2 linked regions of the Alligator mississippiensis genome follow. The protein of the gene in region 2 interacts with the protein of the main gene of each other region in a pairwise test. Links are inferred from orthologs where the notes say so. Each region holds a gene or a part of one and is shown on either strand. Other genes may lie near its edges.

What was found.
Region 1: the proteins of SNCAIP (region 2) and NUB1 interact in a two-hybrid assay, tested with the Homo sapiens proteins (2 studies listed by BioGRID). The link is inferred for Alligator mississippiensis from reciprocal best matches to the Homo sapiens genes SNCAIP and NUB1.

What each region holds. Positions count from the first base shown.
Region 1 is NC_081828.1:207,581,237-207,588,290, reverse strand, and holds the start of NUB1 (NEDD8 ultimate buster 1), read left to right. Parts: upstream 1-4,038; 5' UTR 4,039-4,136; intron 4,137-4,730; 5' UTR 4,731-5,333; intron 5,334-7,054. UniProt on the Homo sapiens protein: Specific down-regulator of the NEDD8 conjugation system. Recruits NEDD8, UBD, and their conjugates to the proteasome for degradation. Isoform 1 promotes the degradation of NEDD8 more efficiently than isoform 2.
Region 2 is NC_081826.1:219,852,331-219,860,136, reverse strand, and holds the start of SNCAIP (synphilin-1), read left to right. Parts: upstream 1-4,793; 5' UTR 4,794-4,973; intron 4,974-5,091; exon of another isoform or gene 5,092-5,181; intron 5,182-5,412; 5' UTR 5,413-5,458; coding exon 5,459-5,515; intron 5,516-7,806. UniProt on the Homo sapiens protein: Isoform 2 inhibits the ubiquitin ligase activity of SIAH1 and inhibits proteasomal degradation of target proteins. Isoform 2 inhibits autoubiquitination and proteasomal degradation of SIAH1, and thereby increases cellular levels of SIAH.

The DNA.
Region 1 (7,054 bases), on a different chromosome or scaffold from region 2:
TGGATGTTGCATTAGCATTTTATTTTCTTGGCTTACTGATTATGGTTTATAATGGGCATGTCTACATGAACACTTTAATGCGTAGTAGCCTATTTTACTGCACATTAAAGCATCACATAAATAACTGTGCTAATAAGCTAATGCACAGTAAAAATAGGCTACTGCGCATGAAGTGTCACTAAAACAGCATGTGGTTTTGCACATTAGGGCAGCGTAATGCGCATTTACTTAGTATCTCACATTAAAGGTAATAAATTTAATGCGCAATAGCAAAAGCACATTAATGAACCTGTAGACATGCTCAGTGAGCAGTACTGCTGCTCTGAGGTTATCGTCGAGTATCATTTTTGTTGTCTCTAGATGCTCCAGACACATGGACAAAAGCTCCATTTAAGTGGGCTAAAAATTAAAAGAAAAAAATGAAAATGTTTCTCATGACTCCACGGGTTCTTATAAAAATCTTCCCCCCACCTTCACTGATAAGGAGTATCTAGATTTCACATCGCACAATCAGACCATGCCCTTTTATTTTAAAACAAAACAGACTAAAAGAACCCAGCTAGATGGCTGCGAATGACTGGATCTCATGTTAGGTAGAGACTCCACTACAGCTACATCACTTACAGTACCAAAGACTCTCAGTGAGACTAATAAAAATCAAGCCAAAACCATTTTGCAAAGATGTTCCCAATAAACATGGGAATATTCCAAAAATGCAACTATTGCTACCATTAAAGATTGTGCACAGATTTAATAAAAATTGTTTAGAAACCAGTTTCAATAAACTAGAGCTGCTCTCTTGTGCAGCTACATAATTACAAGTTACGTGTTATGTTATGGACATCCTTTGCATGGATGTAACATAACTAAACACACACCCAGCCTACCTTAATTTAGGGCTGATCATATAAACTTCCACTGCAATAAAAAAATTGCATATTAAAAACAAAAATCAGTAGATCTGTTGTAGGCACCATGAGACCAATATAACAGAGTCCACACTAAGAATCTAACCTGCATAACTATTTAAATGTTTAAAAAAATCATACCTCTGAACAAAAATAGTCTGGCCATATTCTGGGAGTTGCCCAGCATGTTGCAAAGTTGTGCCGCAGGGCCTAAATTTGGATATATGTAAGAAAAAAAATCTTATTATTACTATAACTCTTAAAAATATTGCAGGAGGCTCTTTTTTACCAGACTATTATATTTTGTAAACTATTTGGTTACATGAAAAAAATGTAGTAGTTAAAACTTAAAATCTTTAAATATTGCACACGTAAATTGGGGAGCAAACAACTGTCCATATATAAACAGACTTGTTTAATAAAGCAATGTTTAGAACAGATTATATAAAAATATCAAAATATACTTCTATTGTGTTCTAATGTATAAAAATACATTTCCAATCCAAACAAAAATTCAAGACACCAGAATTTTTATTCATTTCCTCTTCTGTTCCTTCTCCATGTGTAAAACAGAGAAATACCTGGATATCAGCAAGAAAGACCCATTTTCTTCTTCCAGATATGTCTTGGTTGAGTAAATGAGTCCACAGAAGTAATATTACTGCCCATTATTTGCAACCTTCTAATAAAATGTTTAGCTGTTGTAGATCATTTTTCGACCAAAAACCTCAAAATATATTTAAAAAATCAAGAATCACTGTCCTCATTTTACAGATGCCCAAGCTGGATCACTTTCAGGGCCACAACTCCTGAATCCCAGTTCAGAGTACTATTAATTGGACTGACCTACCTGTGGGAGTTGCATTCAGTAGGCTCCAGTATGTAGCATCATAAGGCTGGTGACATTCCTAAAGCTGTTTGAATGGAGGTCTTGTCTCTGGGAAATTTGGCCAGCCTATCTGATATGGGATAGCTCTTATGAGAATGCTTTATTGTAGGGTTATTATTTTGATAAGAATGATATCAAAATAACTAGTCTATAATGCGAGAGACAAACATTCTTGTGGGTGACATCTTTCATTGGACCAACTACATGGTTGGTATAAATCAGTGATTCTCAACCAGGGCACTATGACACACTGGAATGCCTCGAGATCCTTCCAGGATGCCACACAAAATGTTATCATTGTTAGGTGCGCAAACATAATTCATAAAATAAACCCAAGGATTTCCAATAGGAATACACAGTTTTAAAACATTCTGACTTGTTGTGGGCTCTCTCAGTGCTTTCAACAGAAAAATTGCTCTATTATTTTTTCATAGTCAAAAAACAAATGAAAACTAAGAACAACTGGCATTTTCTGAGGGATGCCTCAAGTCTAACAAGGGCCATCTTGAGCTTAAGGTTGAGAACATTGGCAACACATACGGGGTGCACACAGGTGCAGGTGCACCTCGAGATTGACGATGCATCCCCTGAAAGAAGTACCACCAATGCTGCCAGCAGCACCTGCGGGCAGTCGCCGCTCACCACCCCCCTCCCCTCACTGCTGACACCACCAGCAGCATCTGCGGGCAGTCACCAATCGCTACTGGTCGCTGGTGTCAGTGGCATCTGCGGGTGGAGGCTGACCACCGGTCGGCACCCCCCACTCCCGCTGCTGACACCACTGCGGCTGCCTGCAGGAACTCCTCGCTTGCCGCCCCCATGCCCCCGCCGCTGCCTGGGGGCAGCTGCCATGCCCCGCCAGCCTCCAGAGGCACGCGTCCGTTTATGGTGAGAATCACTAGTATAGACAAAAGCAAGCTTTTGCGTATCACAGTACAGGTTTCCCTCCCTTTCTGCAGGTTCTGTATGTCCAAATTTGCTCTTAAGCGATGACCCTTTTTATACCAAAAATTCATTGTATGCAAGGTAAATTCACTCTTGTGCGATCCCTGTAGTGGAAACAGTCAGGTGCTTTGTGATGTGCGTTGTGGGAGTGAGGCACACCAAAATACAGTCTCCTGCGTGGATCCATGCTCCTTGTTAGTGATCTGCGACATGCGTTTCTGTAGTTGCCATCCCCATTATGACAGTGATCTGTGCTTATGTGTACTGTCTGCTGTTGCCGAGTACCAAAACTGGCTTGTAAAAGTGGTAGAAATGGGTCTGGGGATCAGTACAGTTGAGGTCTTGGAACATATCCCTATTTATTACATTGTAAAGTGGGTTCCCTCTTTGCAAATTCAAGTTATGCACCACTTTCCAGGAATGCATATACAGCATACAGCAAGGGAAACCTGTACCCTTCCTCGGGCGTCTCATCACCTTATTCTAGACTGGTTATGTCACTTTCTATTAGCTATGCAGGAGAGTACGAGTCAATCCCACCCAACTCCAGGGTTCCTGCAAACAGCAAGATCACAAACTGACCAGACACCAAGTGGCAGGACACAGAGCAAAGGGACTGTCTTATACTCCACCTTGATCCTGCAAACCACCTTAGGTGGACCTCTCCACAAAACCACTGCCACAGGCATGTATCTGGTGCATTTAATGGACACCCCCAAACACCTGCCCCTTGTCAGCAGAGGGAGTCCCCGGCACACACCTATCCCGAGTGCACCCCTCTTCACCTCCTCAAGACGCTTGTGCTGAAATTGTGGCAGCCCCTTATTAGACGGGACAACCTTTTTTCACCTTGGTTTACACACTCCCGTCAGCAGCTCCACCGAGTCTCAGGGCCTCCTGATCGACCTCCTCCTGGCCCGGCTACGCTACTGCTCTCTCCCCCACAGCGGGGAGGACGCCCTCACCCACGGGGCAGCATCTCCTGGCTCCTCAGCGCCCCCCTTGAAATGTGTGCGATTAACCTCTGCCCCTCACTCCTGCCCCCGTTTTAAGCTGTCCCATGGAAGGAGTCGCCACACACCCCAGCCCCCTCAAACCACGGGTGGGGACGCAACGCATCCTCTCCCACGCAACATCCCCCGCGCCACGGGCGGCCAACTAGTACCACCCAATCCGTCCAGATTTAGATTTGGCTCTTTTTGTGCCCCCGCCCCGACGGGCTCTGGGGCGGGGCCCGAGGAAGCGCGGCCAAGATGGCGCCGGCGCCCGCCCTCACGTGACCTCCCCGCCCAGCGGCCCTTCCGGGCTTCCGTAGGGACCGAGAGGTGCGTCGGGGGAGGTAACCAGGAGGCGCAGGGCGCATGCGCGGAGCCAGGCCGCGACCCGCCGCGCAGGTGAGCGACGCCTCCGCGAGCAGGGGCGGGGCCTCCCCACGCCTCTAGGGGGGCTCGGCCCCGCCCCCGCCTCTCGCCCCGCCCCGCCCCTGCCGCCGAGGGCTGTCTACACTAGGGCGCGGGGGTAAATTCTTGCCCGTGGGTGGTGTCACGTCCGTTTTTGGGGGTGCCAAGCTGTGCCCCTTCCCCAGCCCCCTCTACACAGCTGGATGGTGCCCACCTGCCACATCCAGCTTGCAAACAGACAAGGTCTTGCAGGGGGGGGGAAAGTTGCACGCTGCTGGTCCGATGGGATCCGCAGTTCTCAACCGGGTCAATCTGGGGATCGTTTCCACGTACCCTGTGCAAGGTGCTAACATGGCTGGGCGTGCAAACACCCTTCCTGAGATGACACCCGGGGCTGTGAGTCAGGATGCCGAACGCCAAGAGCGTCCTGCACGTCAGCGGGCGTCCGCGCTCTTTGCGAGAGAAGGGCTCTATTTTTCCATCCTCAAAACGAGGAGCGAAAACGAAGCTGGCATTGCCTCGAGTCTCGCCGCGGGCTGCGAGGCGCAGCAGGAGCGTCCCAGAAACCGGTTGTTTGGTTATTTGCAGGTGACGAGAGGTTGGACCCGCCGCTTCCCCCACAACAGCAAAGGTACTACGGTTATGGTTTTAGTCCTACCCTGTGGGAACGAGTATTTGAGAAATATCTAAGGCCCAAGGTATCATTTTATTTAAACCTATTCCCCGGGGTTTGTGACGGGCTCGCCGCCGCGACGTCTTTCTTTCACTCAGCGGTGGCTGGAGGATGCGGGGCGGCGGGGATCTGCGCAGTTTATCTCTGAATCCTTTCAGGGAGCTTTTAAGAAACACTTCCCTTTGAGACCACGTTAGATCAGCTCCTTCTTGCCGGCCCAGACCTCGTTATTCCTAGCTGCGTTAACTGTTTGCTCAGAGTCGTCACGGCGCAGGCTCTGCTCCCATCTGTGTGGTTTTATGTCTTCACCTGTTTGCTCTCCTTTGGGCCGTACACAAGAGGGAAGCAACCGACTGTAGGTGGCTGCAGATCTAAAACTCCCTGATGTTGTATTCACAATGGCTGTTGGAAATACCCTTGGTCACATGTTCAAAACTGTATCGGAAACTGCCAACATCACAAAAGTGAAATCATTCAGGGGGTGATTGCGCTGGACAGTGTTGTTGGACAGTAGTGAGGTAAGGTTTATTTGTTACTAAAGAACATTAATACAGTAGTAAGATGACAAGGGAATGGTGCCAAACATTGCTGTTTAATAAAGTACATTGATTCATTTTTATAGAAAAAATAGTTTGCACGTGAAAGTGAAACTCATTTTGCACGTAAACCTCCAAGTTATAAAGTTAGATGTTTTACTTGCATTCTAACATCTGATTTTTTTTCTTTAGTTATTTTCTGTGTTGTGTTTTACATATTCAAATAAATTTGAATTGCCAAACTGTAAAATAATGGTGATCGTAGCAAAGAGACTGTACGATCGGCTTTCACATTCCATTCGTGTTCATTGCTGCTCTCCAGACTGACAAATGTATTTTGAAGCCTTGGGGAAATGAAAACTCATTGTCGCAACAAGAGCTAGTACTTTAGTAAAATGTCCCAAGATAAAAATTGGCACAATCGTAACAATTTGGGAATTTTAAACCAGACTACAAAATGCTGCTGCTTGTCACTTACTTGAAGAATCGACTTAATGAAGGCTATATGCGTCTTAGGATGTACACTGTGGAATTCTGGAAGTAATTAAATTTAATAAGGTACCAATAAGAAACAAGGGCATGACATTAATAGAAAACTATTTGGGGAAATTATTGTGTGTAATTGAAAAGAGAGAGATGTGCTGGGCCGTTTCTGTCCAAGAAATGAAGTCTCTATCCAAAGTAAAGCCAAAGGCGAGGAGCAGCTAGGTAAGTTCTCAGTTCCTGTGTACGTTAGCCTTCTAATTTATATTTAAAAACAAAACAAAACAATTTCCCTTCCTTTGTGGTCAAAAAGAATTTTGCAAGTCTGATCCAGGGGTAAGCCGAGAGTGTTGTTTAGAGGAAAGGGAGACTTCTGGGTAATGTTTTAGGAAGGGAGTTTTTGAAGAATAAACATTTGTATTAATATTTATAGTTTTTTCCCCCTGGTACTGTCTGTTGTTTTGTGCTAATGCAGGAGAACCAGAAAGTGAAACTGTCAGCAAGGAAAACTTGAAACTGCTTAGTCTGATTTTTACTGTGCAGTTTCAGTGACATATGTGAATATAACCTGGGCACAGATGACTGGGGGGGGGGTACATGCCCCCCTGAGATTGGCCCCCGACTCTTCACCACTCAGGACAGGGCAGTTTTTTTGCTGCACGGACCAGTAGTGTGCGGGGGGGCACTAAGCCACAGCACAGAAATATAGGAGTGGATATGGGGCTTTTGGCCCACCCCTGGTCCTGCCCATAAATTGTGCCCCCCCACCAGGCACCAGTCACCCCTGAACCTGGGGCTCATTTGCTTCAAATAAGCTTCAGTGTCTAGGAGCCAAAATTCCCCCCTCCCTTCCCCTTCCCAACAGATCCTACCCTGAGACTCACAGCTGCATTCAGGTTTCCTCCTGGTGTTCCCATCATTTGCCCCCACCTCCTCCCTTCCCAACTTCCTGAATGGATGTACTAATTCACTCTCCCCATGACATTCAGGTGCCTCACTTCTTTTCTGGGTTAAGCTCCCACTCTCCCTATTCTGGCAGAAGCAGAGATGGAGGGGTGCAGTCACTGGCAAGCACTTCAAGGTTGCCCAGTAGTGGCAGCTGCTTCAGAATGTCAGGTTCAGTTCATCTCAAAATTTTGGGAGTTTTATCTGCGTGCACTGAAGTTGCATTCACTGCGTTAAGTGCGTCTGTTCTGAATGGTGAAGGGATAAGCTGGAGG
Region 2 (7,806 bases):
ATGTGGAGCTGACTAATTAGGTCTGCAGTAAAGTGTTGCTGTCTACACATGCATCAGTATTAGAACACAGTAAATTTAATTACCTCTGCTGTAGGATAGTACTGTCTGAGACTAGTATCAACCTATGGCAGAGTCATTTAGTGTGCCAAAACACATGTTTATAGAGTGACCAGGGCTGGCTGAGGCATGAGGGTGTTACAGTATGGGGACTGCCTGCCAGCCCTGACACTGCTACCCAGAGCCTGCGCTTCCCCCACCTGCAACCAGTCTGGGGCTGCTCCACCCTGGCTCAAACAGCTGCAGTCCTGGGCACATGTGAAGATGTTGTGCCTGGGAGCAGCTGACTCCTGCAGAAACTGTGCTGGAGCTTATTGCTACATGCTAATTATACATGTAGCTACACCTAGTATAAACAAAAAATATGCCTCTGGTCAAATATGACCAAAGTAGTAATCGCCTTCTAATTGTTCAGTGGTCTTTTGATCTTTTGAAAAAGCATTGATAATTATTTTTTCCCATTCTAATTAAAGGTGGCTACTGTTATCTTGGACCTTCTAGGGATGTCCAAGTTTTTTTGAGTAGACCTAAAAACTAAACTATGGCCCCTAGAAGTTATTCCTAAAGGTCTTGAGTGAAAACCCGTTGGGGAAACAAGGTAGCGGAACTTGTGTTGCCTTTTTTCTATTGTACCCAGTATAAATTAATTGAACTGCAGTCTCCATCAAAGACCCTCTAAATCTCTACTCTCTACACTACTTTAAAATACTTAGCCTTCTTGTTTCCTTTACTCCTTTGTTTGGGCCAATAGAATTAAACATTTCTTGCTTTAAAGACAATAGTGCATTCTTTGAAGTAAAAAGAAAAAAGGAACTATGATGATGACCTTTCATGACAGGGACATTTAAAATTTTTTACAGATTTGTCATGTGCAATTTAAACATTTGGCATTTCATGATCTTAGATTGCTTAACCATGTAACCTTATAGTTTAGTAATACTTTAATTGAATTTGGGGAGGGCAGGGAAAGGGTTCACCATTGAAGCAACAAGCTTAGAAGAAAATATCACCCTCTGGAATAACTTGCATAAATGCTGTATGTCAGGGATAGGCAGTGTTTTTAAAAATTCTAAACCTGGTGACAATAAATAAAGGTTCATATACTGCCTTTGTGTATTTGTTTTTTTTAAAGCATGCTGTGATGACACAGAGAAAAAGAGGAGACACGGGGGGGGGGGGGGGGGAGAAGAGAAAGAAAAGCACTAACCCCCTGGTGATTTATTGCGGCAGGAGGCAGAGTAGGCCCTTGGTCACAGGGTCCTAACCCACTTTTACCTACCCTACTCCTGTCTTCTCTTCAGTCACCCACCATACGTTAGCCTTAAATGGTAGGTAGAATAGAGAGGGAGGAGTTGGCACCTGATTGTTCTTGGCCTTTTACAGTGAGGCTTGGGAGATTACATCCTGGGTCTCTTCCACCCCTACACGATGCCCATGCCTCTCCAGAGAGATGTTGCCATGGAAGACACTGGTTCTTTAAGGATAAACTTAATTCCTTAAAATAGATGCTCTGTATTGACTGCCACAAAAAAGTAAAAATGCTCTCAAGTAAAAGACTTTTTTTCTTGGTGCCTGTCTTGGCCCTGCTTCTGACAGCTAAGATTGGTGATGGATGTTAGGCTGGTAGCTAGCTGTCATCAAATGCAAACATGAATCCGAACTGTCAGTTGTCAGATGGTTTGTCACAGGACTGAGTATGGATCTACTTACCACTATGAACAAGTGTTTTCACAAATGAAAACCAAAGATGGACAGCAAAGCAAAAGCTACTTTTTTTTCATGCAGGCATACTTTTGAAGAAGGGAAGACCAATATGCTGTAATCTTGAGTTGCTAGTCCCTTGCATTCTCAAATTCACCTCACAACCATTTGAACTTTGCTACTCAGATGCATGAGCTTTGAAAGTCAATCAGTTCCAATTCAAATCCTTCAATGTTCAGTCACTGAAAATACCGCAGTTCTGTGTCACTTTCACAGTATTGTCTGGGTTCACCAGAAGTGAAAACATGGGTCCTGTGTTGCAAAAGTCTTGGAATAGTCTTGCGAATTCATCTTCCAGCTGTCCTATGTAGTTTCATATACCCCTATTATTCAATTGATGTTACCCAGAATGGATTTTTCAGACTGAGCAAGTAATGGAAGGCAAATATTTAAATATCCTGTCTGAAAATGAACAACTTATCACAGAAAGCTTCCCAGTCTTCAGACAGCTGAAGGATGGTTTTCCATGTTCCTTGTAACCTAGTATTCAAATCATTTAAATGTGATGCAATGTCTGTCAAAGACATCAGTTTTGTTTGCCATCTGTCATAGTAAGGTCTGCATGTTACTGACCACTTTTTCCTCAAGAAACAGCTTGATGGATCTGAAACAAGCAAGAAAGCACTTGAGCATGTCACCTCAACTCAATCAGCATACATTACTGTGCAGCGCTAAATATCCATATGCAGAATCCATATCATTTGAAAGTTCACAGAATCTCCTGTATGTCAAAGAAGAGCGGGCGATTAAAAGGTTGACAAATTTCACAACCACTGTCATGATTTTGTTTAGATCAGAAGATGAGATCTTAGCGCACAGGCTCTCCTGATGAATAACACAATGGAAACTCATGAGGATGTCCAAACTCCATTTCAGAAGCTTTACAAATCTGGCTGTTTTACCTGCCATAGTAGATGCACCATCAGTCATACCAGAAAACATTTTGTGCAGGTCAATTTCTCACTGTGTGCAAAATACCTAGGGCAGCATTAATATATTGTTGGCCTTTTATTGTGCTATGCATAGTACTCAAAGAAAACAATTCCTCCAAACTTCCCAAACCGAGACAAAATATCTAACAACTATAGCATGATGGGGGATATCATTTATATCTGTGCCTTCATCCAGTGCAAGCCTTATCGCATTACAAGCAGGGAGATCTTGAATCATTTGTTCCCTAACATTAATTGCCATTTCATCTATTCACCTCTGAACAGTCCTGGATGACAATGGCATTTCATCAATGCAAACAATAATGCTTTCCTTATTTGCAAAATCCTAAAACAGATCCTCAGCACATTGTAAGAGAGAATCCTTTTAGTATTCTCCATCTGTAAAATACTTGCCTTCCTGAGCTATAGTTAGAGCTGCAATGTAATTTGCCTGTGTGGAAAGAGTATTTCTAGCTACAAAACAAGAAAAGCTGTCTGTGTTTTAGAAATGAATCAACAGCTTTTATAATGGATTCACATTTGTCTGCTTCACTGACTCCAGAAAATTTTGGCTTCGTGCTTGGTTGCAAAATGTCACTGGGTGCTGGAAGTACAAGATAGCACACTTTCATTGCACATGCTACAGACAACACCATCCCCTTGCTGCACAAAATCATACAATTCTCTCCATGCTGGCTGTAACTTTCAAATATCTAACTTTATGGATAGTAAAGAACCAAAGTTAGATATTTATATGCCTTGTAACTGTAAAATTTCCTGAAGTTCACACAAACCAAAGGCACTGCAAGCAATGTAAATAGGCAAAATCAGAAATAATTTAATTTATTTGAAGTGTGTGTAAATCTGGGTAAGTATTTCCAAGAAGGCAATCAGAGCAGAAAAACACACAAACAAGTGAGCAATATGATGTCTTTAAATCTAGGAACCCATAGTAGAGAGATCAAATTAAACTGACTATGACCTGTTTTGATACAGTTAAAGCTTGAAAAATATGAACTGGTTTAAAAGACTGAAAAATGGAACAAGAAATGATTTAACGGAGCAAAATAAAACTGAAAAATATGAACTATTTTGACAGAGCAACAGCTGAATATGAATCAGTTTAACAAAGCAAAATAAATCGGTCAATGTAGAGAGAGCAATGGCTGACTATTAATCAGTGTAACCAGGCAACGTAAAAGGAATAGTACAAACTGGTTTGAGAGAGCAAAAACAAAGCCTGAAATAATTTAACAAAGCAAAAGAAACTGAATAATATGCCATCTTAAACTATTTGCCAAAACCAGGAGCAGCACACGGCCCAGACAGAAGTTACAGAAGATGCTCTGTTTTGCCATGCCTTCATCTCGCCCTTCATGGCCCGAGGGGACAGATTTTCATCCAATCGGCAATGTTTTTAAACAGCATGCAGCTTGCACTTGTGTTTGGTCACACTACAAACCGCTTTCTGTGGCCAGACCAGGCGAAACTTGTCATTTCTGTCTGCACCCAGCAGGTTACTGAGCTGGCTGCCCCAAGAGCCAAGTGCTGAGCTCCTGTAAGCAGGCGGGGCAGGGCACTGACGCGGAGGTGCTGGTGCCCGCATCCCCTCCCCGCTGTGTCCCGCAGGCAGCACCACGCCCCCCGCCCAGGTCTCGCAGCCCAGCCTCAGGCACTGACAGGGTCAGGGCATCGGCAGGACGCAGCGGGGCTTTGTAGATGGCAGCAGCCCTGGGCGGGCGGCGGTGGGGGCGGCCCGCATGCTGCTGCCTCCAGCCCGGAGCTGTGGAGACGGCGCAGCCGCTGCAAATGCCCCCAGCCGGGCAGGCTGCAAACAGCTACGCACTTGAGGGAGAAGCTACAAAATTTGCCTCCCCTCACACAGCGTGCCCGCTCCTTTCCCGTGCGGGGCGGGGCGGGGCATGGGCGGGGGCTGGGCTCCCGACTGGAAACCCCGCCCCTCCCCGCGCTGCCGCTGACGACGCCGCCGCCGCCCCACGCAGCGGAGCCCGCCCCGCTGCCTCTCCGCCGCCCCGAGCCCGGCCCCCCGCCGGGAAAGGCTGGCGCGGCCCCGGCCCCGGCCCCCGGAAGAGGCTGGCGCCGCGCGCTTTTGCGGGCTCAGCTGCGCGGGGCGGGCGCAGCCCCCGGCCCGGTCCGGCCCGGCCCCCCGAGCCCCCCCACACCTCGGAGCCTGGCGCCGCGCGCGCGCCTCGGCAGCTTCAGGTGAGCGCCGCGCGGCCGCGGGCGGGGCGGGGCGGGGCGGGGCAGGGGCCTGAGGCAGCGCGGCCGCGCCCCCCCGCGTGCCCACACCGCGGCCCGGCATGCCTCCACGCCCGGCGGTTTTGTGCATGCGGAGTCACTTCGATTTCAGTCTGGCTCTGTGCGAGAACAGAGGCGTCTGCTCGGATGCAGCCCTCACTTCAGCAGCAAGGCACGTCTCCCTGCTGCTTCAGTAGCCACAATTGCTGCCCCGCCCCCCTCCCTCCCCCCCCACGATGGGTAGACAAAAAAAGAGAAGTGGAATGTAAAGTTTTAGGGAGCGTCCTCTGATGGGTGTGAAGATCGTTACCTCGAGCAACGCATTGGCTTCATAGAAAGGTTTTTGTATCAGGCCCTTGTATAACACTAGTTTTCTCAAGTTCCTACCTGTCTTTTTAAATAGGACTTTACTGCTGTTCTGATTCGCCCAAGATGTACATAGACAAATAATGGAAGCCCCTGAATACCTTGATTTGGATGAAATCGATTTTAGTGATGACATCTCTGTAAGTATAAGTCTTATTTTATCTGTTTCAAGGGCCACAATTGTTAGGTGTCTCAGTCATGCAGTTTTGGTGGTGGTGGCCAAACCCTGCTTTGCCCTTATGCGTGGGGATACTTTATTGTACTTGTTATCTATTATATGTTATATTGTTGCGGGTCACTTGAATTGAGACCATTTGTTTGCTTATCTACAAGATCTGACCTGGTCAACACTAGAAAGGGCAGAAGTCCAGCAGGGTTTTTGCTGTGCGTGTGTGTTTCTTTTTGTTTTTTGGGGTTTTTTTGTAAATGTGCAGCTTTTATGGTATAACTAGAATCAGAAGGGTTTCCAAGGATTTTAAAGACAATGTCAGTCCTGGGACTGCTCTTAAAATAATTCTAGTTTGAATTATAAGCAAAAATATTGCTCTTCTGAGGTTATAGACAGATGTAACAATTGTATCAATATCAAAGTATGCCAGTACAAGCTGTTATGATACAAGGTTAAATCTGTATGATCCTCCTTCACTCAGGGTTAAAGTTAGGGCAATTTAATTAACTTTTACCTCCTTGGGATCATGCAGATGTAACCATTAGAGCATAGCAGCTGCTGCACACTCCCAACCAGCAGCTCGCCTTCCTCTTTTAAAACCCCTACAATTAGTGTTTGTCCATACCTTGAAGTATGCACTTTCCAGCTCTTACAGGAACCACTGAAACACTTCATTCCTTCTTTCTAATTATACTTCTGCTACAAGTGTTCCTGTTTTATGAGTGAACCTGTTGTTTATATACCAAATGCCTGTTTAATGAGGGCAGTTTAACATGCACATAATTCTGATGTAAATTACATTTATTAATTTGATTTGCAGGTCACCTGTGCTGTCACTGACAAAGTGAAGCCTGCATATCCAAGACTATTATAAACTTCTCTTACAGAGGGTCTCATTTTCCCTGCTGTAGTTTATGCTGCATAGTGTTGTCTGCAGCAATATAAATGTATCCTCATTAAAAACTGCTCTGCAAAGCAATGCTGTCTCTGTGAGCAAAGGAAACCCTTGGCTGGTAGCTAGCAGAAGGCAGAAGTAGACATGCCCACACCTTCTGCTAGATGCTATGGCCCCTTCAGCACCTGGTACCTGTCTAGGGTGCACTTCATGCCCTGCCAGCGGGGCTGCAGGCAGAGCTGTGTGGTGGCACCAATTGCTTTATGGGCATGAACAGTGCTCTGGCAGCTTACCCATGGCAGGTGCTCTTTGCTGTCAGAATTTCCAGTGACAGACAGTCATGGGTAGGCAAGGCTAGTGTTTGGGTAGGCAAACCTTTTGGAAAGCTCCATGTGCTCTATTCCCATACAGCTTCCTTTTAAAAGGGATTTTATTTTTACCCTTTTTTACAATGGCTTCTAATTAAATGGGGATAAATTACAAGATAAGGCCCCAGTCGTGAGAGGATAGGTTTTTCTGGACAGCTGTCTTGTTTATATCTATTACCTACTAGCTTGGGTGTCTCAAACTTACCTGCCTTCCCCAAGCCTGACCCAAACCAGAGGGCTCCTCACAGGCCAGATCTGGACCAACATCTGGTGGTGGGATGAGCAGCAGTGGCAACAGCGCAGGGGTTAACATAGCCATTGCTTTCACCTGCCACTGACACATCCCCAGTGGGCTCTATACTCTGGATTTTGGTGATGGGCCCTGCCCTGACTCATCCCACCCCCAAATCTCCAGCCCCTCTAGGAACCCCATGGGCCAGAAGACACTGCTCCATGGACTGGATTTGGCCCACAGGCCATGTTTGACATCCCTATGCTGAATCATGTCCCCATATGTGTTTCTAGGCACAATTTTACAAATTCTTAGTGAAGAATAGATTTAGATCCAAAGTTGATTAAGTAATGACTAAAAATTGTTAAAACGTGATGAGTGTTCTTGTGGCCCAGTGAAGTGATATGATGGTCTCAGCCCATTTCTGAGTGGACAGGTATACGCATCAGAAAGTCATTCTTTCAGCTGAGTTCCTTGTCAGACAACTCGGCCAAGGGTCACAGGTTTTTGTGTGCACAGAGATTGCCCATGGCATCTAGGAGCTATTTTATATTACTAAGGGGGAAAAAATATTTAAAATTTTATTTTGATTGTACATGGGTTCCTGAATAAAGAGAAACTCTAACCTTTTCTTCTGTTTTTCAAACTCTTAAGCTACCCTGATTTAAGTGCCACATATCACAGATTTGTGTGCACGTTAAATAACAGAGTAGAGTTATGTGACCTTTATTTAAATTACACACACATCATTATGTTCAAAATGACAT